Linked DNA regions of Pelodiscus sinensis. The protein of the gene in region 2 interacts with the protein of the main gene of each other region in a biochemical or structural test. Links are inferred from orthologs where the notes say so. Each region holds a gene or a part of one and is shown on either strand. Other genes may lie near its edges.

Region 1 (7,279 bases), on a different chromosome or scaffold from region 2:
TAAAGAGGGCAAACTTTACTCTATGTAAAACTTTTATGCAGAGTAAGATGGATTTATTTGGGTTTTGCTTCTCTTTGGGGCTATGTTCCTGAATTCTGTCAATAGTCTTATAGCTGACTCCTCCCAGAGCTGAGCTGGTTCAACATCTATGTTGTTCTGCTGAAGGGCCATTACCGTAACACTGTGACTTGTTTGGGGAAGATCAGAGCTTCTGGAACAGCAGGATAGGGTGATGGGGCACTCCAAAGGGCAAGTCGGCAGGCTCAGTGGCATGACCAGCACACCAGGTGACAGCCCAAAGGGAACCTGTCACACACTATTCTCAGAAGGTGTGGAAGTATTGGGGAAGTTTATAGGGCAGGGCTTAAACTGGTGCAAATGATTATAAATTGTCAATGGATTTCAATGGAATGAGGACAATTATACCTAAAAGCCTGCCCCAGTGTCAGCGAAGCCAATATGGAAAGGAGGAAAAACCTGGCCTATTTGATTAAGGAGGATATGAATCTCTTTGGCAGTGTAACTCTTATTAGGTTTTTTCTCTGAAACTGTTCAGCACCTTTTTCACTTTGTTACTGAGTCATTTGCTGACAAGATCGAAGAAAGAGCAGTCCCTGGATCAGTTTTCTTTCTGATAAAATGTCTGTATCACTCATGGTTTGAATGAAAACTATTATCCATCATCTCTTTTTTGCCTGGAATGGGCTGAGCTATGGAGTTCAGATCCTGATCTAAATCTGAATTTTCCCAGACTCTGGAGTGTTCAAATTCAGTGTCCCTTATAGAGATATGCCTCAGGTATCACAGCATCCAGAACCAGAAGACATTCAGATTCCACAGCAAGAGGTAACGTATAAAAACATAGATCCACAGAATTCATGGAGGGGAGCTGGAGGATACATACAGTGTTCTGGTTTTGGTCCATCTATAGTGCTGGTGAAATTCTTTTAAAGGCCCAGTTAGTAGTAATAATAGCTTACATTTAGCTAGTATCTTTTATTCTGAAGATTCTCAAAGGCCTTTGTGAACTATATTCATACAGCAATCATTACTGATATAGCCTTTGAGATGACAAATAGCTAACAGAAAATGTGCACGTAGTACTCAGAACAGATGAGAGTAGAACTAAAATACTGCCCAATCAGTGAGCAGATACAAAGCCTTGCTCTTATGAAAACTGCCAGGAAATCCTGAATTTCCATGCTGAGTGGATAGGATTTCAGGTTTAAGGTAGGGGTGTGAAAAGAGTTAGAAGCAAGTGAAGAAAACGTACTTGTTGAATGTTTGAATTAAACATATATGGCTATCTTCCAGTAAATGACAAAATATGTTTTCTCTCATTTGGTTTACCTGTACTTGGCACAGGATGCAAAGAAGGAAATAATAAGTGGCTTTTTTGTTGCTGGCCAGAGATGCTTTGGTCCTTAATACAACTCTAAGCAGCTGCAGGGATGTTCTATGTTACCTGTGGTCTCCAAAGAGCTATACTGGCAACCAATGATTAGTGAGCCATAGCAATACATTGGCTATGCCTCTTTTCACTCTGGGAATAACCTTTACACTAATTGTTGGAGGGGAGGGGATAGTATAGAAGTAGTGTAGTGATTCTACAGCACTCTGGAGATTTTCCCTACATGGAAAAACTCCTCAATTGGCCAATTAAGTTGAATTTACAGTCCCTCTGTGTCAGCAAAACTGTACAAATGAGCCAGTGTGGTGATGAATCTGTCCTTCTGTCTCTTAGAGCAAGTTTCTTCTGTTCTATTGTTACACACCCACATTATGGAAATATTTTGTCATTAATATTCAGTGAGCACCATCTACTTTGTGTATAAATCCAAACACAAGTCAAGAGCCATCTGTTTAATATAATTCAGCATTTCAGTTTTGTGTGATTATATCTGATCTGTTTGACCTACCATGTCAGCGCTGTTTGTTAACTGTAATTTTACCTGATGTGGGAAATTCTAGGATGCTTGTGAAAAGAAATGTGTGTGTATGCGCATACGCGCATATATACATTCCATTGTATTGTAAAATAACAATTCATGCATGCTATGTTTTATTCCCTTTCTACATACAACATCTCACTTTCCTGGGGATTTCTCTGAGTAAGGGTAAATACTGAAAAGGTATGTTTCATTAAACATGCTAGGATTTGCAAAACAAATCCTCATTTTTGGGAGGTTGTTTTTTTAGCTTTGGGAGTATAAGAACTATATTTAATCATCCTGAATCTAAAATCTACAGCACTGGCTCAAGGAATCTTGGAAACCTCAGGGTTTATCTTGCAGAATTTCCTCTGTACACTGGCCCCAGGAGCAAGAAGTTTTAGTGACCTGAGGGAGGCAGAAGGCATAGTCTTCATCCCTGTAGATCAGTAGTTCTGGACATTGTGACCAACTGTGTGCTAGATCTTTGTGACAGGTGAAAACTTCTCCCTCTTAAGTATGTTTTCATTGCCTTCTCAGCCTGCATCTATGCCACCCTTACCCCTTTCTAAGAGGGCTGCTGACATAGTGCAGGTTGGACAGTGTTAACTCCTCTGAGTATATTTTCCCCGATATCCTTTTGATTCTGAGGGAAGCATACATAAGTTCACTGTAGTCCACAACAAAACTCCTATTAATTTTAATGATAATGCCGTTTTTTTTGTCCGTCGATTATTTTTATCTTGCAAATCAGTACTGCCAGTCCTAAGACTTCAGGCAGCACTGAAAGAGGCTTGTTACAGTGCAATCTCTTGAGCCCACTTGGTTATATGAAAAATTCAGAAGTAAAGGCTCTGTAATTTAAAACCTAGTAATGTATTTCCCCTGATTTTACATTTATTGTATATAAACAGGAACAGAAATGGAAACACAGAGCTCAAACTCTCAGCTACTGGCTTCCGATTCTTCATCTATGGAACAAAACACTGGAAAGTGAAACATAAGGTTAGGATTTTAAATAAGAAATTAATGAAAATGCTTCTTTATTGCCCCACTTAATGTAGTTTCCATGGAAACAGGACTGGATAGGCTGCCTGTAGCTGGAACGGAAAATTCTGCCTTGTCACTTTCTGCTCTGAGCCACCAGCTGAGCCAATAACACTGCCATATTTTTCCTAGTTTTTAGCACCTTACATGAAAACAATGATTTCTCACAGAGCAACTTAACTGGCCAAATTAGTATTGTTAGCTAAGTTTGTTACTTGGGCATTTAGCCTGTTTACTTATACTACTTAACTAACATAAAAATTTAAAAGGAGGAATGTAATGCATATTCAAATTACTAAATCACAACACCAGATTACTGTCAATGTCACTTGAGTTGAAGAAATTAATTCCATGTCATTTTTAAACAGTGGGCAGGTGCAACCTGAACATATGGTTTGAGCTATTTAGACACAACTCCCACCATTCACTTACTGTTTGGTTTTAACAAATCACATTGGGTCATATTAAAAGATGCTGAACTCTTCCTACTTCATTGTGCTCATCCCTTCACAGGCTCAGTACCTAAGCCTCAATTAACAGCATCTGTGAATCCTGCCTGGGGCAAAACTTCAAGATACTGAACATCCTCCCTACTGTGTTCAAACAAGGGCATCCACACACAACCTTTCCCCAAAGTAAGTGACAGTGGGAATAGAATAATAGTTTACAAATAACTGGTTTTCAGATAGACAAACCCTTCATTTCATTTTTGGGCTTTCGGAGATGCAATGTCTGAGTTTCAAACATGGAAGTGGGTGATTTTTTTGCTTAAATACACCTATTCCCTTAAAGGTTTTTAACTTAATGAAAGCTTGCTTTTAACCTGAGTTTTGGGCTAAATCTGAGTTGACAGCCTGTTTCTCATCTCCTGTCCAGGCTCTGGGGATGCTGCAGAGTGGCTGGCTTTTACAGGAATGATGGTAACCCATTATTGATTCACACATCGGCTTCCCCCCTGCTGCTGGAGTAGCTACCAGGTTGTTTCTATGATAATCAGTAGGTAATTTCCTACCAGCAGGGCACGGCCCCACTCCAGGCCTGGCACCTCTGAGGGGTCACGTCTGTCTCCCCCCACATACAGCTCTGTCCCAGGAAGGAAGCACGGCCAGGAGCCCAGCTTCTCCAGGGCCCTGTCACTCAAGCTACCAGGGGGCGACTCCCCTCTAGGCGCTGACCTGCCAGCTTGGGGGTGTCCCCACCACAGTCAAACCTCCCTGCAGCGCGCCGGGCGGCCCCTAAGCCCCCCAACACCCGGGGCGCCTCCCCCGCCGCCAAGTGCCAGTCGCTGCCCCTCCCCCTCCACGCCTGCCAAAGGAAGCGTGAGGGATCAGGCCTTTTCTCGGGGGGGGGGAAGGGAGGCACTCCCTCCTCGCTCCGCTTTGCCGCGGAAGTTTGGCAGCGCCGGGCCGCCGTAGACGGGGTGAGCTGTTGATTCCTGTCCGGCTGGATGCAACGGCCATTGTGTGCGGGCGCCTCGAGCTCGTTCCGCGTGTCCTCGCGCCCCTCGCCCGGGCCGCCATGAGCGAGAAGGGGGAGCTGGACCTGACCGGGGCCAAGCAGAACACCGGCATGTGGCTGGTGAAGGTGAGAGGCCGCGCGGGTCCCGGGCCCGCTGCTGCTGCCGCCGCCGGGACGGGGCTCGCCTCCAGAACGCAGCGCGGCGGGGAGCGAGGGGCTGGGGAGATCCCCTGGGGAGGGCCCCCGACGGGCCGGTGGCGCTGCAGACGGGGCCTGGCGGCTGAGGCGGTGTCCCCGCCGGTGCGGTGCGGCCTGGCGTGACCGTCCCTGAGCGGCGCCGCTTCCCGCCGGGGCCCGCCCGGCGCGCAGGAGACTCCCCTTGGCCGCCCCCACGGTCTCCGGCGGGTCCCGCGCGCTGCTGCGGCCTCCCTGGAGCTGCGGGGACCCCGCCAAGCGCGAGCCGATGCAGAGTCAGCGGGCAGGTGCCCCGGCCTCTCGCTGCTTTGTCAGGCGCCGTGCCCAGAGCTGCGAGGCGCCAGCCCCTTCAGTGGCCGCGCTTGGGAGCAACCCCCTACCGCTCTGTTTCTGTGAGCACTGGCGAGGGGGACAGGGAACGAGACAGTGTAATTGCCTCTCTATGCCAGTAGCATCATGGAAGCCTTGGCAGAAAGAAGAGAATTAATTTTTCCCTTTTCTGTAGCTGGGGTGTGAACTTTAGGCTAGACTTAAGACACTGTTGGGTGGGGATGGATGAGGCTCCCTAGGCACTGTCCCTGGCTTACACCCTGCTAGGAATCACATCGTACTTTATCTTCTAAGACCCTGGGCTACATCTACACTGGCAGCTTCTTGCGCAAGAGCTGTTTTGCAGAACAGTTCTTGGCAAAAAGTCTTCCACAAGGGAGGCTGTGTCTAGACTGGCAAGCTTTTGCGGAAAAACTTGCGAGCTGTCTACACTGGTCACTTGAATTTCTGCAAGAACACTGACTTCCTACTGTCTGAAATCAGTGCTTCTTGCGGAAATACTATGCTGCTCCCATTCGGGCAAATGTCCCTTTTGCGCAAAAGGGCCAGTGTAGACAGCTCAGATTTGTTTTGCGCAAAAAAGCCCCTATTGCGAAAATGGCGATCGGGGCTTTTTTGCGCAAAAGCGCGTCTAGATTGGCACGGACGCTTTTCCTCAAAAAGTGCTTTGCGGAAAAGTGTGTGCGCCAGTCTAGACACTCTTTTCTGCAAATGCTTTTAACGGAAAACTTTTCTGTTAAAAGCATTTGCGGAAAATCATGCCAGTCTAGAGGTAGCCAGAGTGTCTACACTGGCATGTCCTTTTGCACAAGAGATGTGCTTTTGCGCAATAGCGTCCATGACAGTGTGGACGCTTTCTTGCGCAAGAAAGCTCTGATGGCCATTTTAACCATGGGGCTTCATGCACAAGAAATTCATGTTGCCTTTCTACACTACCCTCTTGTGGAAGAGCTCTTGCGCAAGAGAGCTTATTCCTCATGGGGAGAGAAATAACTCTTCTGGAAGAAGCCCTGTTTTACAACGCTATACTGTAAATTTACTCCCACAAGAATGTGCGTGCAGTGTAGACAGCAGGCAAGTTTTTGCGCAAGAACAATTGTTCTTGCGCAAGAAGCTGCCAGTGTAGACATAGCCCTGGGGTCTTATCTGCATTAAGAATTTTCAGGATGACACAGTAGATGAGCTTCAGGAGATAGCCAAGTTAATCAGTTACAGAAAAAAACAACAAATGGTCTGGTAGCACTTTATAGACTAACAAAACATGTAGAAGGTGGTATGAGCTTTCGTGGGTGCAGCCCACTTCTTCAGATGATCAGAGTTATGAGTAGGGGATATGAAAACTCAAAATAAATAGGAGAGGGAGAAGAAAAAGAAAAAAAGAGCAGCAATAGAAATTTTCAGAAAAATCCTTAATATAGACATAGTCAAGGAGTGGGCTTGTCATTAGGTCTTGGAATTTGCTCTTTCGTGTCAGTTTCTGGATGGATTTTGCCCATGAAAGCTCATGTTACCACCTACATGTTTTGTTAGTCTTTAAGGTTCTACTAGACTATTCATTGTTTAAGTTTTTCTAGTTTCTGCGTAGTAGGTTTTATGAAGCCTTGTTGAAAATGGGTTGATCCTACCTGTGCTAACCAAGGAGTTTTCAAATGAGGAGATGAAGATATAAGGGGGACCCTAGGCTGTGTCTAGACTACACTGCTGTGTCCACAAAGAGATATAGATTAGTCACGCCGAAATTGCTAAATATCCGGCACTCCATTAGCATGGGCTCCCCACCCATGGCCACGGCTTTTTTTTTTTTTTTTTTTTTTTTTTTTTTTTGAAGCGGGGCTTTTTTGGGAGGGGGGAAAAAAAGCAGTCTAGACGGGGATCTGTCGAAAAAGGCTTTATTTTTCAATGGATCCCGTCTAGACTGACTTTTTTTTGAAAAAGCTCCGTTTAGAAAAAAAGCAGCAGCCATGTTTATGCTAAGGAAGCATGGGATATTTAAATACCTGCTTCATTAGCAATTTCGACATGCCTAATCTACATCTTTCTGTCGACAGAGAGGTATAGTCTAGATACAGCCCTAGTGTTCATATTGATTATTAACAGAACTTTCCTATGTATACTCTGTATAGGAGGAGAACTGGAATAGCAAGAACTTTTTATGATTCTTCACAGATAGTTGATGACATGATGACATGACTTAAAAATGACTTCCATGACTGGTATGGACCAAGTCTATGGTCTTTTAACATTTTAATTCCTTTATATAGTAGGGATGTGAAAAGGTTATCTGGTAACTGCTGCAGGCAGGGGGCTGCTTCAGTCTT
Region 2 (7,907 bases):
CTAAAATGGAATCTGGATGATTTGGACATGTCACTCTGGGAAGCACATCCAAACTAAGAAAGAAAAAGACTTTTATGTTTAACGTGCACCACAAATCAACTGAGTAATTTACAAACAATATGCAAACTGTTTGGGTGGAGTAGTACATTAGGAGCACTACGTAGGATTTCCACACATAATTCAATAAGATAGGATTTCTTAAATCCAGTTTAAAATTCTTAAATAACTTGCCTCATAAAATCCACAAGGATTACTTTATTTAGTAAAGTGCTCCAAACATAACACACACACACACACACACTTATATATATATAGTAAATTATACCTGAAAATCCATTCTTACTAAATAAATGCCTACCAGAAATCAGTGATAACCATGTCTTTCTAAATAGTCACTCCTGCATTTGGCTAGCCATTTTTTAAAATCCAATTAAAATATTTCTTCGGTAAGCAGTGCATTCTTGACTGTTTTAGAAAACAACTATCTTCTAGCATCCCATGTTCACAAAGCTGACTGCGTATTTAAAAAAAGTGAACTGAATGTAGATGCACAAAGCAGATCTGAGGTCTGACTATCCTTTATCAGCAGCATGATGTACAGGGAAATGCTTCAATAAAATTAATGGCCATGATGTTTACTCAAAGCTTGGCATTTACTTTACTCCTGCTACAAGTTGTGATAACACTGGAAAATGTTTACTAACTCTAGAGCAGATACAGCAGAGGAAATAGTTTGACCCATCACAGTACCTTTAGTCCTGGTTTGAAAGCACTCTCTCCACCCATAATGAAGAAAGAAGATAGTTCAGGCATAGAGACCAATCAATCACTAACCTCTGCTGATAAATGTCTAAAAGGGAAAATTGTGGCAAGAACCCAAAGACTAATCAGATGTAGTTGTCAGTACTGCTAATCTGGCCAAATCAGGAGCCTACTGATACAGGGCATTCCTGCTATAAATTGCCCCGGTATACATTGGTTCCATACTAGCTTTTTTTTTTTTACTGACTGACTGACAGACACACATACACTTCCCTGCTTTACACCCTTTTACTATACACCCATGATGTTTAAAGGTATCTTGGACATATAGCGAGGACACCCTGTTCCACATGATCATGACAAGAAGGAAAATTGGGAATAATGGAATATTGCCTAACAATGAATGTAATGGGTGTGAAATGAAAGAGTTTTTAACATAAGAACAGTCATTCAGGGTCAGACTACTGGTCCATCTAGCCCAGTAACCGGTCTTCAAAACAGTGGCCAGTGCAAGGTGCTTCAGAGAGAATGAACAGAAAGGGCCATTAGCAAGTGTTCCATCCAGTTACTCAGGCCTAGCTTCTGGACAGCCAGAGCATAGGGTTATATTCCTGACTTTTTGGTTAATAGCCATTGATGGATCTAGCCTCCATTATCTATTTTTTTAACAGTTATACTTTTGGCCTTCACATCATCTGTTGGCAATGAGTTACATTAAGCATTGTGTGAAGAAATACTCTTTTTTACTAGGAAACATTTAGAAGAATCAGGATGTGCAACCAGACATGGCAATTCTTCCATCCACATTAAAATATGAAATTTGTGGAAAGGCCCGATTTAACCTTAACGATAGTTTTACACAGCAACACAGTAAGAACAAACTATCCATTTTCTAGGAGACATTGGTTTTAGACCAGAATGCATATTTATTTAAAAGATCAATTATGTAAATTAACATTTAAAGTGCTAGGAAGCAGAGATTTGCAAAATGGGAGTGGGGTGTGCACACAGGTGCAGGTGGTAGAGCAGAAGGGCTCCAGGAGGGAGCACCACTTGCACCCCACCTCAACTCTGAATGTCATTCAGCATGCAAGTCTATATCAACATCTCTGTGCCCACTGTTGACTCAGGCCCCCTGCAATGCTCACATACATATGCCATCCCCTTCTGAAAACCTGAGCATGGAGGAATAGGTATGGGAGTGGGGCACACAGCCAAAAATTGTAACTCAAGGGGGGGGGGGGAAGAGTACTCAAGTTAAAAGAGTTTGAAAGCCACTGCTTTAAAGTCTCCCATCTACCTACAGCAGCAGTTCTCCCACCTTAGGTCAGGACCCCAAAGTGGATCACAACCCCTTTTTAACAGTGTTAGACCTACTGGGCTTTGAGACCAAAGCTTGAGGCCAACCGACTAAGGCATCAGATTACAGGTCTCCCGAAGTCTCTGGGTTTCAGTTCCCCATGCCCTCCCCTCCCCCGAACGTAGGACTCGGGCTTTGGCCCTCCTGCCTGGCGTACAGGATTCACTGGCCAGGTGCAGGCGGGAGGTGAGGGCTGTAGGGGTAACCATCACCGCCCTAGACATCTCCGACTTCCTAGGCCAACCTTTGCAGGCTATTCGCAGCAGCCCACCGGCCACCCCGTCACTTGTGAGCTCCGAGGCCGGGTCACAAAACCCTCGGAAACGGAAGCTCAGGCGGAGCCCGGCGCCCCGATGACCACGGGCCGGAACCTGGGCCTGGCGCACAAACGCTCGTCGCTGCTTCAAGCAGGAGGCGGCGGCGGAGGGAAGGGGCCGCACACGGAGAACCCGGCTACGGAGCCCTTGGGAGCGGAGAGGGGCGCCACAGCGAGGAGATCAAAGCCCCCCCCCCCGGGAGCGGAGAAAGGGCCCGGGGAGAGCGAAGGGTCCGGGGGGGGGGGGAGGGATCGGGACTGACAGGCAGGAACCAGGACCCGAAATAGCAGCTGGGGGGGAGGGGGGGGGTTCAGCGTTGCTGACCCGGGAGCTGAATCTGCGGAGCGACGCGGCCATTTTCTCGCCCCGGCCGACAGCCCGGAATCCCGGCCAGAGACCCCCAGGGGCCCTAGGCCGCCCGCTCCCCTCACCGGCTGGTAGACGCCATGTTCGTTCCTTCCTTCCTTCCTTCCTTCCTTCCTCGTCCCTGTCTCCGTCCAGGTCTGGGTCAGGCGCACGCAGCCTACCCCCTTATATCTCCTCCGACACGGAAGGCGGGGCTCTGCCAGGCGGTCGCTACAGGCTGCGCAAAGGGACAAACCAGAAGGGTTCGCGTTCAGCTGCCTTAACGTAAGTGCCGGGAGACGGCAACAGCAGCGTGGGGAGCTGCGCGCCGGCGGGCGGGGCGTTACAGCGGCTCTGTGCCCGGCCTCTGGAGTCTGGGCCAGGTTCCTTTTCCATTCCCAGGGCGCGCCGCTGCCCCGCGGGGACCCTGCCCAGTGGGGGCTCGTGCTCAGCGTTGTAGCCCCGGTGACCAGCGGCCACAGCCTGTAGAATTGTGGGCGGCGCCCAGAACAGGGCCCGGCCCCTCCCCCACCTGCCTACGGCTCTGGGCGGGGCAGGAGGCTCTGGGCTGGGCTCTGGGAGGGACTGTGGGTGCAGGCTCTGGGCTGGGGCGGAGGTGCAGGAGGAGGGGAGGAATAATACAGGCTCTGGGGGGGAGTTTGGGGCAGGAGGGGCAATGCAGGGGAGGAGGCGGGGGTGCAGGCTCTAGGTGGCAGGTTGAGGTGGGAATGCAGCACTTACTGGGATACGCCCCTCTGGCATGGCTCCTGGGAGAGGGTGTGACAAGGTATCTCACATGCCTCTGCTCTCAGGCTCTGCCCCACAGCTCCCAATGGGCATAGGGGCATTGAGGCTAGGGTTGCCATGCAAAGACCACTGGGATGTGTCCGCCGCTAGGCAAGCGGTAGGAAGCTGTTCTAGCCCTGCGGTGCTGCCGGGGGTGGCAGACAAGGCCTCCAGGCCATTTTAAATTGTACAGGTGAGGTTGGGGGGGAAGACCCAGCCCCAAACTGCTGCAGCAGAGCTCCCAAGCCAGGAATGTTCCTGGTGCCCACTCAGCGTGGGTCCATATCACTTGACACCTCTGGCACTGGCCCTCTTGCTACTTTTCCCTTGAATAGACCTTTGCAGTATCCTGGGCACAATCTTCTCACACAAAGGAAGCTAACCCTTGTACTCAATGCCATCTGCTGCTATATTGCAGGATGCTGTAAGCCCATGGTCACCAACAGATCAATCGTGAGGCCTCAACCAGTTGATTGTGAGGTGTCCGGGCCCTCCCCCCATTTTCCTCCCACCCCCGAGAAGCCCCACTACCTACCTCCTGCAAAAATGGAGGTAGTGCCAGCTTCCCACGGGTGGACGGAAGTCCTGCAGCTTTGCGCCACTTCCGGGGGTTCCGGAAACACGCTGGCTGCTCTGCCAGGCGCGCTGCGGGAGGGGGTTGGGTTGGCCCTGGAAGAGGAGCACCACGACTTCCCTGCACCAGCGCAGGAGGGGTGAGTCTGCCCTGGGGCAAGTGCGCACAGGGTTTCCCTGGTCTGGGGGGGGGAGGTGTTTCGGCCCTGGGGCAGGTGCATGCAGGGTTTCGGTCCTGGAGCAGGCGTGCGCAGGGTTTCCCCAGCTGCAGAAACCTGTTCCCACTGGCTCTCTGTCCCCTGCTGCAGAACCCTGTCTTCTGCCCTCCCAGCACCCTGTTCCCTTTCCCCTGCCCCCAGCCACAGAACTCTGTTCCCACTGGCACCTTGTCCCCTGCCAAAGCACTAGCATCCTTCCCCAGTACTATGTCCCCTGTTCCTACCAACACAGTTGGGGCCACATTAATGAAGCTTGGAGGGGGGGGGGGGTTGCATCTCACTTGTGTGGCCCCAACTGACTTTTCTTGGGTCAGTGACCCCTGACTCAAAACAGGTTCCCTGCCCTTCTCAGAAATAAAGACAATGCAGAAACTTTTTGTTTGACATAGTATTTTATTTAAAAATGAAGCCTGGCCAACAAACCCCAAATTGGGGCCAAGCCCCCATCTGGCCACAGCATCATAACACTCCAGCACTCCCCTTTCCCCCAGACCCTACATATGAGCCTATCATACACTGGAACCCCCTGCCCTGAGCCCCTCACATACCCCAACCCAAATTCCTGAACCCTTACATCCAGAAGTCTGTGGCTTGCTTAGTACCCTAACCCTACATCTGACCCCAACACTGCCCGGCCTGGCACCCCCTCCCTGAGCCAGCATCCCCTTATCTACCTTCTCCTACATATAAATTTCCTCCCAGAGCTTGCACCTCTCACCCCTTCCCACACCCAAATCCCTCATTCCCACCCCAGAGCGTATACATCCTGTCTCAACCAAGCAAGGTTACAGCTAGACTGCGGGAGTTTTTCAGGATTCCGGAGATATCCCAGAAAAACACTTCTGCATCCAGGGATGCATTTGTTCTTCTGCTTCTTTTAGTGGAAGAGCAAACATGATCTTTCGGTCACCCCTATATTCCACTTTCCATGAGCAATAAGGGGGCTTCCAAAAGAAGGGGGTTTTCTGACATTTGGTCCAGACTAGACAGGCCAAATGTTGGAAAAACCTCTTTCTACAGAAAAATTGGGGGAAAAAAGCAGCAGTATAAGGGTTGAGGATAGCAAGTGACGGAGAGGAGGAGAACAGAGAGGGCGAGGCTTCAAGGAAGGGGCGGGGCAGTAGTTCTTGGCTTGTTCTGTCATTTAAAAAGTGATCTTGGGTGTAAAAAGGTTGGAGACCACTGCCATAAGCCTACCCGCATCAATCCTCACAGACATTGCTGCTGCTCCTGATATATGCCTGGAAGTTGCCAGTAGAGTGCAGCATACAAGATAATGCAGAGATCTGAGACCTAGTATAAAACACCAACACTGGTCGGTTGACTAAAGCCACGACAAAGTTTTCTTTACGTGCATATTTTTATCACCCTAACAAACAAAGGTTCAGTTACGGTAGATAAGGGTTGAGAACAACCTGCAAACTGGCTCCCACCGGTCAAGCATCTACCACCTGGTGCATATTATGAGGGAAGATTTTGACAGCCCAGCAAACTGCCTTGACTGCTGCCAGTACTGGAATATTATTATGCTTATTGACAAACAGGAGCTGGAAGGCCTTTGTAGCAGCCTTCACATAACTAAATAGATTGGGGTGGGCAAAAGAGAGAAGGTGACCTTGAGAAATAAGCATGATCCTTTCTTATTAAGCTCTCTTGAAAAATCTGAAGTCTCCGCCTTTAAAAAAAACGTTGTCTAGCTATACCTTGAAATTGTGTAGAAATACAGCTGTGGGACCAATGGCTTAAAATTGCTTGCTTAATGGTTTTTTGTTGATTGACACACTGATGTAATTGTAGCAGTTACTAACATAAAAATGGTAGATAAGTCTGAGGAATTTGGATTTGACCTGAACATCTATTGGAATCCCCAGCCACAGACATATAGCTGGCCACTTACACAGTGTGCATTGACTGCACAACACCCCTGCAGACTATGGGTAACTAATAATTAGGGATGCTCTATGCCTTTTGCATATCTGTATGTGCTTGAAATCTAATAAAATAGTAAGCTTGGGTAAAAGTATTGTGGGTTTCTGACAAGCTTTAATCAGATGGATGTGCTTTGATTTTTTTCTTCCTGACATTGCCTTCCAAAGACTATAATTAGCCCAAGCTTTGAGTTGAGAGAAACTCAGGTAATGCACATCAACCCTGAACTACATTGTGTTATATTAATAGATTGCACTGTAGTTGATTAAGTGAAGGTACATCACTGGCCCCTCTACTGGGGGCAGAGAGCTTCAAAATATGAAGGATCAATACAAACATAAGATTGGCTATACACATTCAAACCAATGGTCCATCAAGTCCAGTATCCTGTTTTTGGACAGTGGCCATTGCCACATGCCCCACAGGGAATGAAAACAACAGGAATCATCAGGTGATCCACCCCATTGCCTATCTACAGCTTCTGGAAAATAGGTCAGGGACACCATCCTTGCCCATCCTAGCTAATAGCCATTGATGGGCATACTCCATCTAGTTGTTTTTCAAACTTTGTTATAGTCTTGGCCTTTACAACATCCTTTGCAAAGAGTTTGACAGAGTGACTGTGTGTTGAGTTAAAAAAAACACTGTTTGTTTTAAAATCTTTGCCTATTAAATTCATTTGTTTAACCCCTAGTTCCTGTGTAATGAGGTGCAAATAATACTTCCTTATTTACTTTCCCCACATCGATCATGATTATATAGATCTCTATCATATTCTCCCTTTAATGTCTCTTTTCCAAACTCAAAAGTCCCAGCCTTATTAATCTCTCCTTGTATGGCAGGCATTCTAGACCCTAATAATTTTTGTTGCTTTTTCTGAATCTTTTCCACTTACGATATACCTTTGAGATGGGATGGCCACACCTGCATGCAGTATTCAAGATGTGGGTGTACCCTGGATTTATATAGGAGGAAATATATTTTCCATCTTATTATCTATAGCTTTCTTAATAATTCTGTTTACTTTTTTGATTGCTGCTGCACATTAAGTGGATGTTTCAGAGAACTAGCCATGATGACTCCAAGATTTCTTTCTTGAGTAGAAAGAGCTAATTTAGACCCCATCATTTTGTATGTATAGTTGAGATTATATTTTCAAATGTGCATTACTTTGCATTTATCAACATTGACTTTCATCTGCCATTTTGTTGCTCACTCACACAGTTTTGTGAGATCCCTTTGTAATTCTTCACAGTCTGCTTTGGACTTAACTATCATGGACTTGTACCATCTGAAAATTTTGCCACTATGTTATTTATGAAGATGTTAAATAGGACTAGTCCCAGTACAGGACCCTGAGGGACACCATTATATACCTCTCCATTCTGAAAACTGACCATTAACTCCTCCCCTTTGTTTCCTGTCTTTTAACCAGTTACCAATCCATGAGAGGGCCTTCCATCTTAACCCAGAGCAGCTTTCTTTGCTTGAGAGCCTTTGGTGAGAGGACCTTTCCAAAAGTTTTCTGAAAATCTAAGTTCACTATATCCAGTGGATCTTCCTTCTGCACATGCTTGTTGACCTCTGAAAGAAATCTAATCGATTGTTGAGGCATGA
Region 3 (7,199 bases), on a different chromosome or scaffold from region 2:
TTTCCCCGTGCCCCATGCTCTTATAATGAAAGATCACTTCTATTGTGTCCTATACTCCCCCCACTCACACCCCTCAAAAACCCACTTTTATAATTTGTTACAGATTCTCAACCTAGCTAGATAATAAACTTCTGTTTCCGGAAGGTACAAGAGTGTAGACAGAAGCAAAAGAAGAAAGTAAAACCCAGTTCACTTTTGCGTTTCACCAGAATAACACACAACAACAAACTGAAACATATCATACTGTGTTCTCATCTTATGAACGTAAATTCTAATATGCCAAAAGAAGGTTAAGTCTGAGAAAGTCCTAGCTTAGCACGGTTGTTATCGTGGTCTGTTCTGGCCAGTTGGTAGGTCCCAGAGGTCAAATTAAGAAATAGTAAAAGTTCATCTCCAAATTACATTTACGTTGTCACCCTTTTTAAGTCTTATTGTAATTTGTCGGGGGTGGAAATGCATCTTGTCAAGGGACTCTTGTTTTTACCTAGGCATCAGATAGGCATTGGGCTGCTTCCCCAGTTCAGCTGCTCAGTCTACTTCCCAGCACTCACACAACGGTTCAGAGGAACTGGGACTTTCGTCGGGAATCAAAACCGCATTCACGTAGGTTACCCAGTTCCTGATACTATCTGCTTTTAGAACATACAGGTAACTGATTCTTTCTAAGAAAATGATCATCACCGTCCGCGCAACTACAGTGGAGTGCAAATACACCTCTGGATCAGAGCAATTTGAATTGCTTTTTGCTTTCTTCGTATTGTAGTCTGTTCCCCAGGTCAGTGGGAGCTGATTGCTGCTGCCCCTTTAATATGTTGACATTATCTCCCAGATAAACAAGTTGCCATCGATCTTTTCATTAGGTGATCAAATAACAAACAGAGCAGGTGAAAAACAGGAGCATTAGTATGCTTGCATTTCTGTAGCAGGGATCCTAGCAACATTATTGGAAGTAAAAGTTCTATTCAATAATTATGTGGAAGGGGTGTTTATGCGTCAGTTGGGTCTATAATATTTCCGTAGATACACAAAGGTAAACGTAAGCGCGTTACCTTACTAAGGAAAGTGTATATAGATACAAGCACATATCTCTGTATCTGTGTGTTGAATGGAGAAACTGGGCTCATAAGAAAAAGCTAAAAACTGAAGGCTCTGCATACCTCCCATCTATAATTCCTATAATCAGATTCAATATGTGTGAAATGCCGAAATAACGGGCCATGTTCTCAAGTTGGGCTGTTTGACGAGTCTCGGAAAGCAGCCTGAATGCTAGAAGCAAAAGTTATCCTTGCAAAGTACTCCTTTACTATAACTCCATCACAGTGGGTTTCCAATGAAATGTAGACAGACGCTGCTTCCCATGTTAACCCCACTAGAAACACAGAATAGAAAAAAAGCAGTACTTGCCTGGTGAAGCCTGCTTTGACCGCGGTTCTGGGTGCCAGCTGAAGCGATCCAGGCTCCGAGGAAATCTTTTCAAGAAGGAGCAAGCACAAACTGCTCGGTCCGTCCACCTTCTCTCTGGCTCTCTCTCTCCCTCTCTCTCTCTCTCTCTGTCTCTCTCCCTCTCTGTGCCTTGCTCTGCCTCTTTTACTCCTTGTCTCTTCACAGTCTGGGGAGTAAAATCTAGATGATATACATACAGAGCCTGCTTTTTTTGTCTGATTTAATCTTATTCGTTTCACCTTTTCACTGACCAGGAGCAAGGAGCGAGAGTTTATTTGGAAAGAGGGAGAGAGAGGAAAGGAGTCCACTGTTGCATAGTCAATAACATCCTTTTTATCAATGCAATATACAATAGGGGCGGCTTGGCCAGGGGACTCATTGAAAATCTCTTCATTATTTCAGGACAAAACAACCCGTTTATTCTGATTTTAGAAATCATCCGCTCAAACTTGTTCAAAATCTTACATCTGTGGGCTTGACAGGAAAATAAACCCATTATCGAAGCACATCTAAGGTGCTTGTTTTGTTAATGAATAGAAAATCGTATTAAAAAGCTTCCTAATATTTCGCATTCCCTTTTCTTGCAGGTTTTGCTTGGTTTCCAAACTGATTTAAAACTTTGATGTGAGCTAAGGGGAGCCCAGGAAGGTGGGGGGGGGGGGGTTGTTGTTGTTGTTTTCTTTTTTGCCACAGACAGACATTCGACCCAAAGTGCATTTAAAAGAGGGCACTTAAGGGGACGTTGCAGAGAAGAAGGGATGGGAGACAGGAGGCTAGAAGAGGTGTGCCGTTGAAAAGAGAAGAAGGTTCCTTGCTTTCCAAAGCAGCTTCTTTAAAAAGAAAATAAAAGTCATGAGAACATTTTGTGGCTTCCTGCTGCTTTAGAAAAGGCACGGGCTTTGTGCACTGAGGAGGAAGGGGGGAACTGAGGACTTTGCTGGCTGCAGCTACTAAGCTCGGTTCCTGACCGCTAGATGGCAGCCGGATCCAGCGATTCCTCTACTAGACATTTGGAAGAGAGAGAGAGAGCAAACCCCTCCTCCTCCCCATGCACATACTCCAACCTTCTCTCTCTCTCTCTCTCTCTCTCTCTCTCTCTCTCCCTCTTCCTGGGACTTTCGTTTACAAGCATTGATCTTCCCAGACAACAAAACGAGAACTTACTTGTGTTTTATTAATAATTATTGAAGCATTGCTGGCTGTTTAAACAGCCTTGGAAAGGAGCACTGCTGGAAAGTGTAATCATCATCATAATTAATAATAACCCGTCCAGGGGAAAGTGTTGGTTTCTGATCTCATTTTACGACACCGAGAATTCCACCAGTGTCACTGAGCGTAATTAAAAATATCAAAAGAGGAAGAATATTTTAGGTAATAAATGGGAGGAAAAAAGCAAAATTGAACATATACATATATAAATATATATTTGCGTTTTCCAATATGTATTATATCGCTTATTATACAAAGCATATTTACTTTCAGCAATTAAAATACTTAATAGAGGGGGGTTTCAATTGGAAACATACAGCAATCTAAATACAGCAATCTAAATAATAACCCCCCCAAAAAAACTTACTTTTCTGCGTGAGCCAAAATAATTTTCTTTTAATTCCTCTTTCCCCCTATCGCAATGCATCTCCCCTCCCCTCCCCCTTTCCCCGTCCTTTTGATGTGTGTGCGTGTGTGAGTGTGTATGACCATAGACGACCCATACTAATCAGGTCTCAAAGTAAATAGCAGCGCAGGGCGATCTCAATGTAAATTGTGCTTGTCAGAAGATTCCCCTTCTCTCCCCCCTCCCTCATTCCCCAACCCAGTCAGTAGGTAGCAGAGAATTAAAAAAAAAAGAGGGGGGCCTCTTAACCAATGGCGTGAAGGAGGCTTGGCTAACCTTAGCCTCCCATTTTCTCTCCCCCCAATTCAGGGCTCTGACCAGTCAGTCGCCTTTGATTATCAGTTGCCAGCAGCCCCTCTCTTGGCTCCTTGACATGAGCTCCATATAAGGCAGCGATCTCCATAGAAACGTGTCAGTTTCAATAGTAGTGTCAAAGTTCACTATATACAGACATTCGCGCAGATCCCCCTTTCGGAAACATTGCTCTGCTAGTCTTCCCGTTTAAACGCATTCATTTTTTGGGTCTCTCTCTCTCTCCCTCTCTCTCTCTCTCTCTCTCTTTCTTTCTCTCTCTCTCCCCCCTTTCTTGCATATTCTATTAGTTTTTTTCTTCAGCTCCCTCTTCTTCCTTTTCTTCTTTTTTTTTCACCCTTCCTCTTAGTGTCTTTCGCTTCATTCCTGCAGGAGAAGAGAGAGGTGAAACTAAAAAAAAATTAAAAAGGAGAAAAAGGAAAAAGAAGAAACCCAGAGAGAGAGAGAGAGAGAGAGAGAGAGGACGCTTTCATATCTTAATACATCATCGTTATTTTTTTTTTTTTACTATTATTGTCTTTTTTTTATTTTGGGGGAGGTTTTGGTCCTGGCTGATGAGTTTTTATCTGAAATACTTTTTTAACCAAAAACAGAGAACATTTTTCGGCGATCTCCAGTGATTTTTGTAACTAGCCCCGTGTGTTATCACCGAAGAAGACGGAAGGGGCAAGAAAGAGGGAAAGAAGAGGATTTATTTATTCGACCTACTTTGGATCTCTCGTTTTCTGCCTGTGCCATTATTATTCATCCTCTATTTATTTTTTTACTCTTCGTCGTGAATTCGTCTCCGCTGCGAATTAGTCACATCCAATTGCTTTTGTATTTCTTTGAGAAAGAGAGAGAGAGAGAGAGAAACAACCACCAACAGCAACAACAACATCAAACTGTCTAATCTTCCATCCCTCCTCGAGCGCGTTTCCCAAGACTGGTTTCCTGAATGGCTGACTGCGTTTTGCCCTGGACCTGGCCCCCGGACACTTTTATCCCCTGATCTTCGGGAGCCTTTTTCTCTCGCTTTCCACCATCCGCGCCCAGCCCTGCGCCCCCCAAAGAGCCCAGAGCGCCGGCGGCGGCAGCGGGGGACAACCACGGCACCAGCACCGGCCTGGCCCCGGCAGCGAGCAGCAGCGGCGGCGGCGGCGGCGGCGGCGGCACCGACCTCCTGCTCCTCCTTCTCCTCCAGCTTCCTCTATGTCTGCACATCCTTTGCACTCCTAGCGCTCGGACTGTGTGGCGGGCGCGCGCTGTGTGTGTGTGTGTGTCGGCCGATCGCCTCCCCCGTGCGCCTCTCCTGCATGCCTCTCCCCGCCGCGCCGCCTTGCCGGCCGCTTCGCTTTGGGCAACTTGAGAAAAAAAATATTTAAAAGGGGGGGGCCCCACAAAATCCTTCATCCCTCCCTTCCCCCCAAAGCGGGAGAGACAGAGAGCGAGGGAGAGGGCGAGGAGGGGGTTGCAAAAATAAAGAGAAAGAAAACGGCAGAAACAGCTCCAAGAAGCAGCGGCAGCAGCAGCACAAGGGCAGCGGCAGCAGCGGCGGCAGCCAAGCTTCCTGCTCTCTCCTCTCTCCCCCAAATCCGAGCCACCCACTCCCCCCCGCCCCCCTCCTCTCCCCGGCAGCCCTCCGCGAGAAGCTCCGCTCCCCAGCACTTTGTGGGCCCGAGATATGGCAATGGTAGTTAGCAGCTGGCGAGATCCGCAGGAAGACGTGGCCGGGGGCAACCCGAGCGGCCCCAACCCAGCAGCTCAGCCGGCCCGGGATCCGCAGCAGCAGCAAGCGGCCTCGGCGGCCCCGCACACCCCGCAGACCCCTAGCCAGCCGGGACCCCCTTCGACTCCGGGCACGGCCGGCGACAAGGGCCAGAGCCAGCAGGGCTCGGGCCAGAGCCAGCAGCACATCGAGTGCGTGGTTTGCGGGGACAAGTCGAGCGGCAAACACTACGGCCAATTCACCTGCGAGGGCTGCAAAAGTTTCTTCAAGAGGAGCGTCCGCAGGAACTTAACGTACACATGTCGTGCCAACAGGAACTGTCCCATCGACCAGCACCACCGCAACCAGTGCCAGTACTGCCGCCTCAAGAAGTGCCTCAAAGTGGGCATGAGGCGGGAAGGTGAATATTTCTTCCCTATTCTACTCTCCCTCGCTCTGTAGCTCGGTGTGTGTTTGCAAGCCCTCGCCAGCTTTGCACCCAGGCTTTTGGTTTGCGCTGATGCCCTCCTCTTCCTTTCCTCCCCCCCCCCCCCCCCCCCATCACCGCCACCACCACCGCACTCTTCCCTGCCCTGCTCACTGGGATGGGAATTTATTATGATGATCAGTCACTAAATATTTATTATTTCTCCGGGATCACTCGGATCTCTCTCTGTATGTGGATGTGGTTTTGTCTATTGTTGGCATGAGGCTGGGGGGACATCATTCTTTCCAAGATGGGTTTCCTTCTATTCCCCCTCCCTCCTTCCCTCCTTATGTACAATTTAAAAACCCACAACACTTCGCAGTAGATCCATTTCCACCATCATCTTTCCTGAAAGAAAGATGAAAGACATGTAAGTGGCGGGGGGGGGGGGGAGGAAGGGAGAGAAAGGAAGGGGGAGAAATATGCTACTGTATCTCAGGTTCCTTGTGCTTGCCAGTATGGTAGAGTCTGCTCCTTGCAAGATCTGGCCTTCTTTTCACTCCATGCTCTCAAAGGAAAGTTTCTGACTGAACCTTGTTTTTATAGTTCTGTCATTTTTTTAGCATGCTGTTCATTTTATTTTTCCATCAAACTCTACCCTCTGCTTAAATACTGCATACAAATTACAATTTACAACATATTTACCGGTCCTCCTGATTTTAGCATAATACATAGTCTGTTTCTGGCATGAGCTGTCCCCACCATTTCAAATGCTATTTTTTAGAGTTGTTCTTGATGTTTGCTTGTAATGTGTCTCATTTTTCGCTAGCAAGATTTGCTGCACTGTATTTTCTAAATATATATATATCAATTTACAGTTAAAGTTCATCTTGTGACTATCGTTAAAGATGTCTGATAGGCAAAGAAGCGAAACAATCAATTTTGTGGCGTGGGGATTACTTGCTTCTTTAATTAGTTTTAAAATTATATTTTCTATGCCACAAGAAAAGAAAGTGAGTTCCTTCAGACCTGGGAAGAGCTCGCACGTATGACGACTTCATTTGTAGCTTCAGGGAGCTATTTGTAGGCGTATGGGGAAAAAAGCAAACTTAGAATTGTGCTTTCATTTAATTGAAAAATAACTGCCAAGTTCAAAACTATAATTAGGTGGAGGGGGGAGGGAAGAGTCCAGCCACTTAGATTTCAAGGGCTCAGTTGGAATTTCATCAATACTATTATAAATGATAAAGTTACGGAAATATTGCACGCTCTAAACTGGAAAGATAAATTATATATAGGGGTGTGTTATTAATATGCCACAGTGGTTGTATCTTCTCCTTGAATTACCTTTGTTGACATGGCATGCACTTTGGAACACTGGCGCTGATGAAGTAAAACATACACACACGGAAAAAAAACTTTGGTCAGCTTTAGGAACTCAAAGCATGCTTACGTTTTGTATTGAGATGGTTAATGAATCCAGTGTTTTTGCAGTTGCAAGCTTGTGCATTCACTGTGCAAAGCTGTCCACAGGCTTTTGCAGTGGCAACAGCGCAGCAAAGATATTAATTAAACCATCGCATTTTTTCACTAATGTTTGGCTACTGTAAGTTCAGACCCTTTTCCCCCCCTTTCGAATATTTAATCTTTCTCTTCCTTCTATCAGCGAGAACTTTGCTGGGCACGTATCGGATGCTTGCTCCGTGTAATAAAAA

Evidence for each region.
Region 1: the proteins of GTF2B (region 2) and GTF2F2 form a complex in vitro, tested with the Homo sapiens proteins (2 studies listed by BioGRID and IntAct). The link is inferred for Pelodiscus sinensis from reciprocal best matches to the Homo sapiens genes GTF2B and GTF2F2.
Region 3: the proteins of GTF2B (region 2) and NR2F1 form a complex in vitro, tested with the Homo sapiens proteins (2 studies listed by BioGRID and IntAct). The link is inferred for Pelodiscus sinensis from reciprocal best matches to the Homo sapiens genes GTF2B and NR2F1.

Annotation. Positions count from the first base shown.
Region 1 is NC_134711.1:286,841,241-286,848,519, forward strand, and holds the start of GTF2F2 (general transcription factor IIF subunit 2), read left to right. Parts: upstream 1-4,274; 5' UTR 4,275-4,496; coding exon 4,497-4,562; intron 4,563-7,279. UniProt on the Homo sapiens protein: TFIIF is a general transcription initiation factor that binds to RNA polymerase II and helps to recruit it to the initiation complex in collaboration with TFIIB.
Region 2 is NC_134719.1:32,367,445-32,375,351, forward strand, and holds the start of GTF2B (transcription initiation factor IIB), read right to left. Parts: upstream 3,009-7,907; 5' UTR 2,888-3,008; coding exon 2,871-2,887; intron 54-2,870; coding exon 1-53. UniProt on the Homo sapiens protein: General transcription factor that plays a role in transcription initiation by RNA polymerase II (Pol II). Involved in the pre-initiation complex (PIC) formation and Pol II recruitment at promoter DNA.
Region 3 is NC_134716.1:72,718,804-72,726,002, reverse strand, and holds the start of NR2F1 (COUP transcription factor 1), read left to right. Parts: upstream 1-4,194; 5' UTR 4,195-5,033; coding exon 5,034-5,478; intron 5,479-5,664; exon of another isoform or gene 5,665-5,914; intron 5,915-6,286; exon of another isoform or gene 6,287-7,077; coding exon of another isoform or gene 7,078-7,090; intron 7,091-7,158; exon of another isoform or gene 7,159-7,199. UniProt on the Homo sapiens protein: Coup (chicken ovalbumin upstream promoter) transcription factor binds to the ovalbumin promoter and, in conjunction with another protein (S300-II) stimulates initiation of transcription. Binds to both direct repeats and palindromes of the 5'-AGGTCA-3' motif.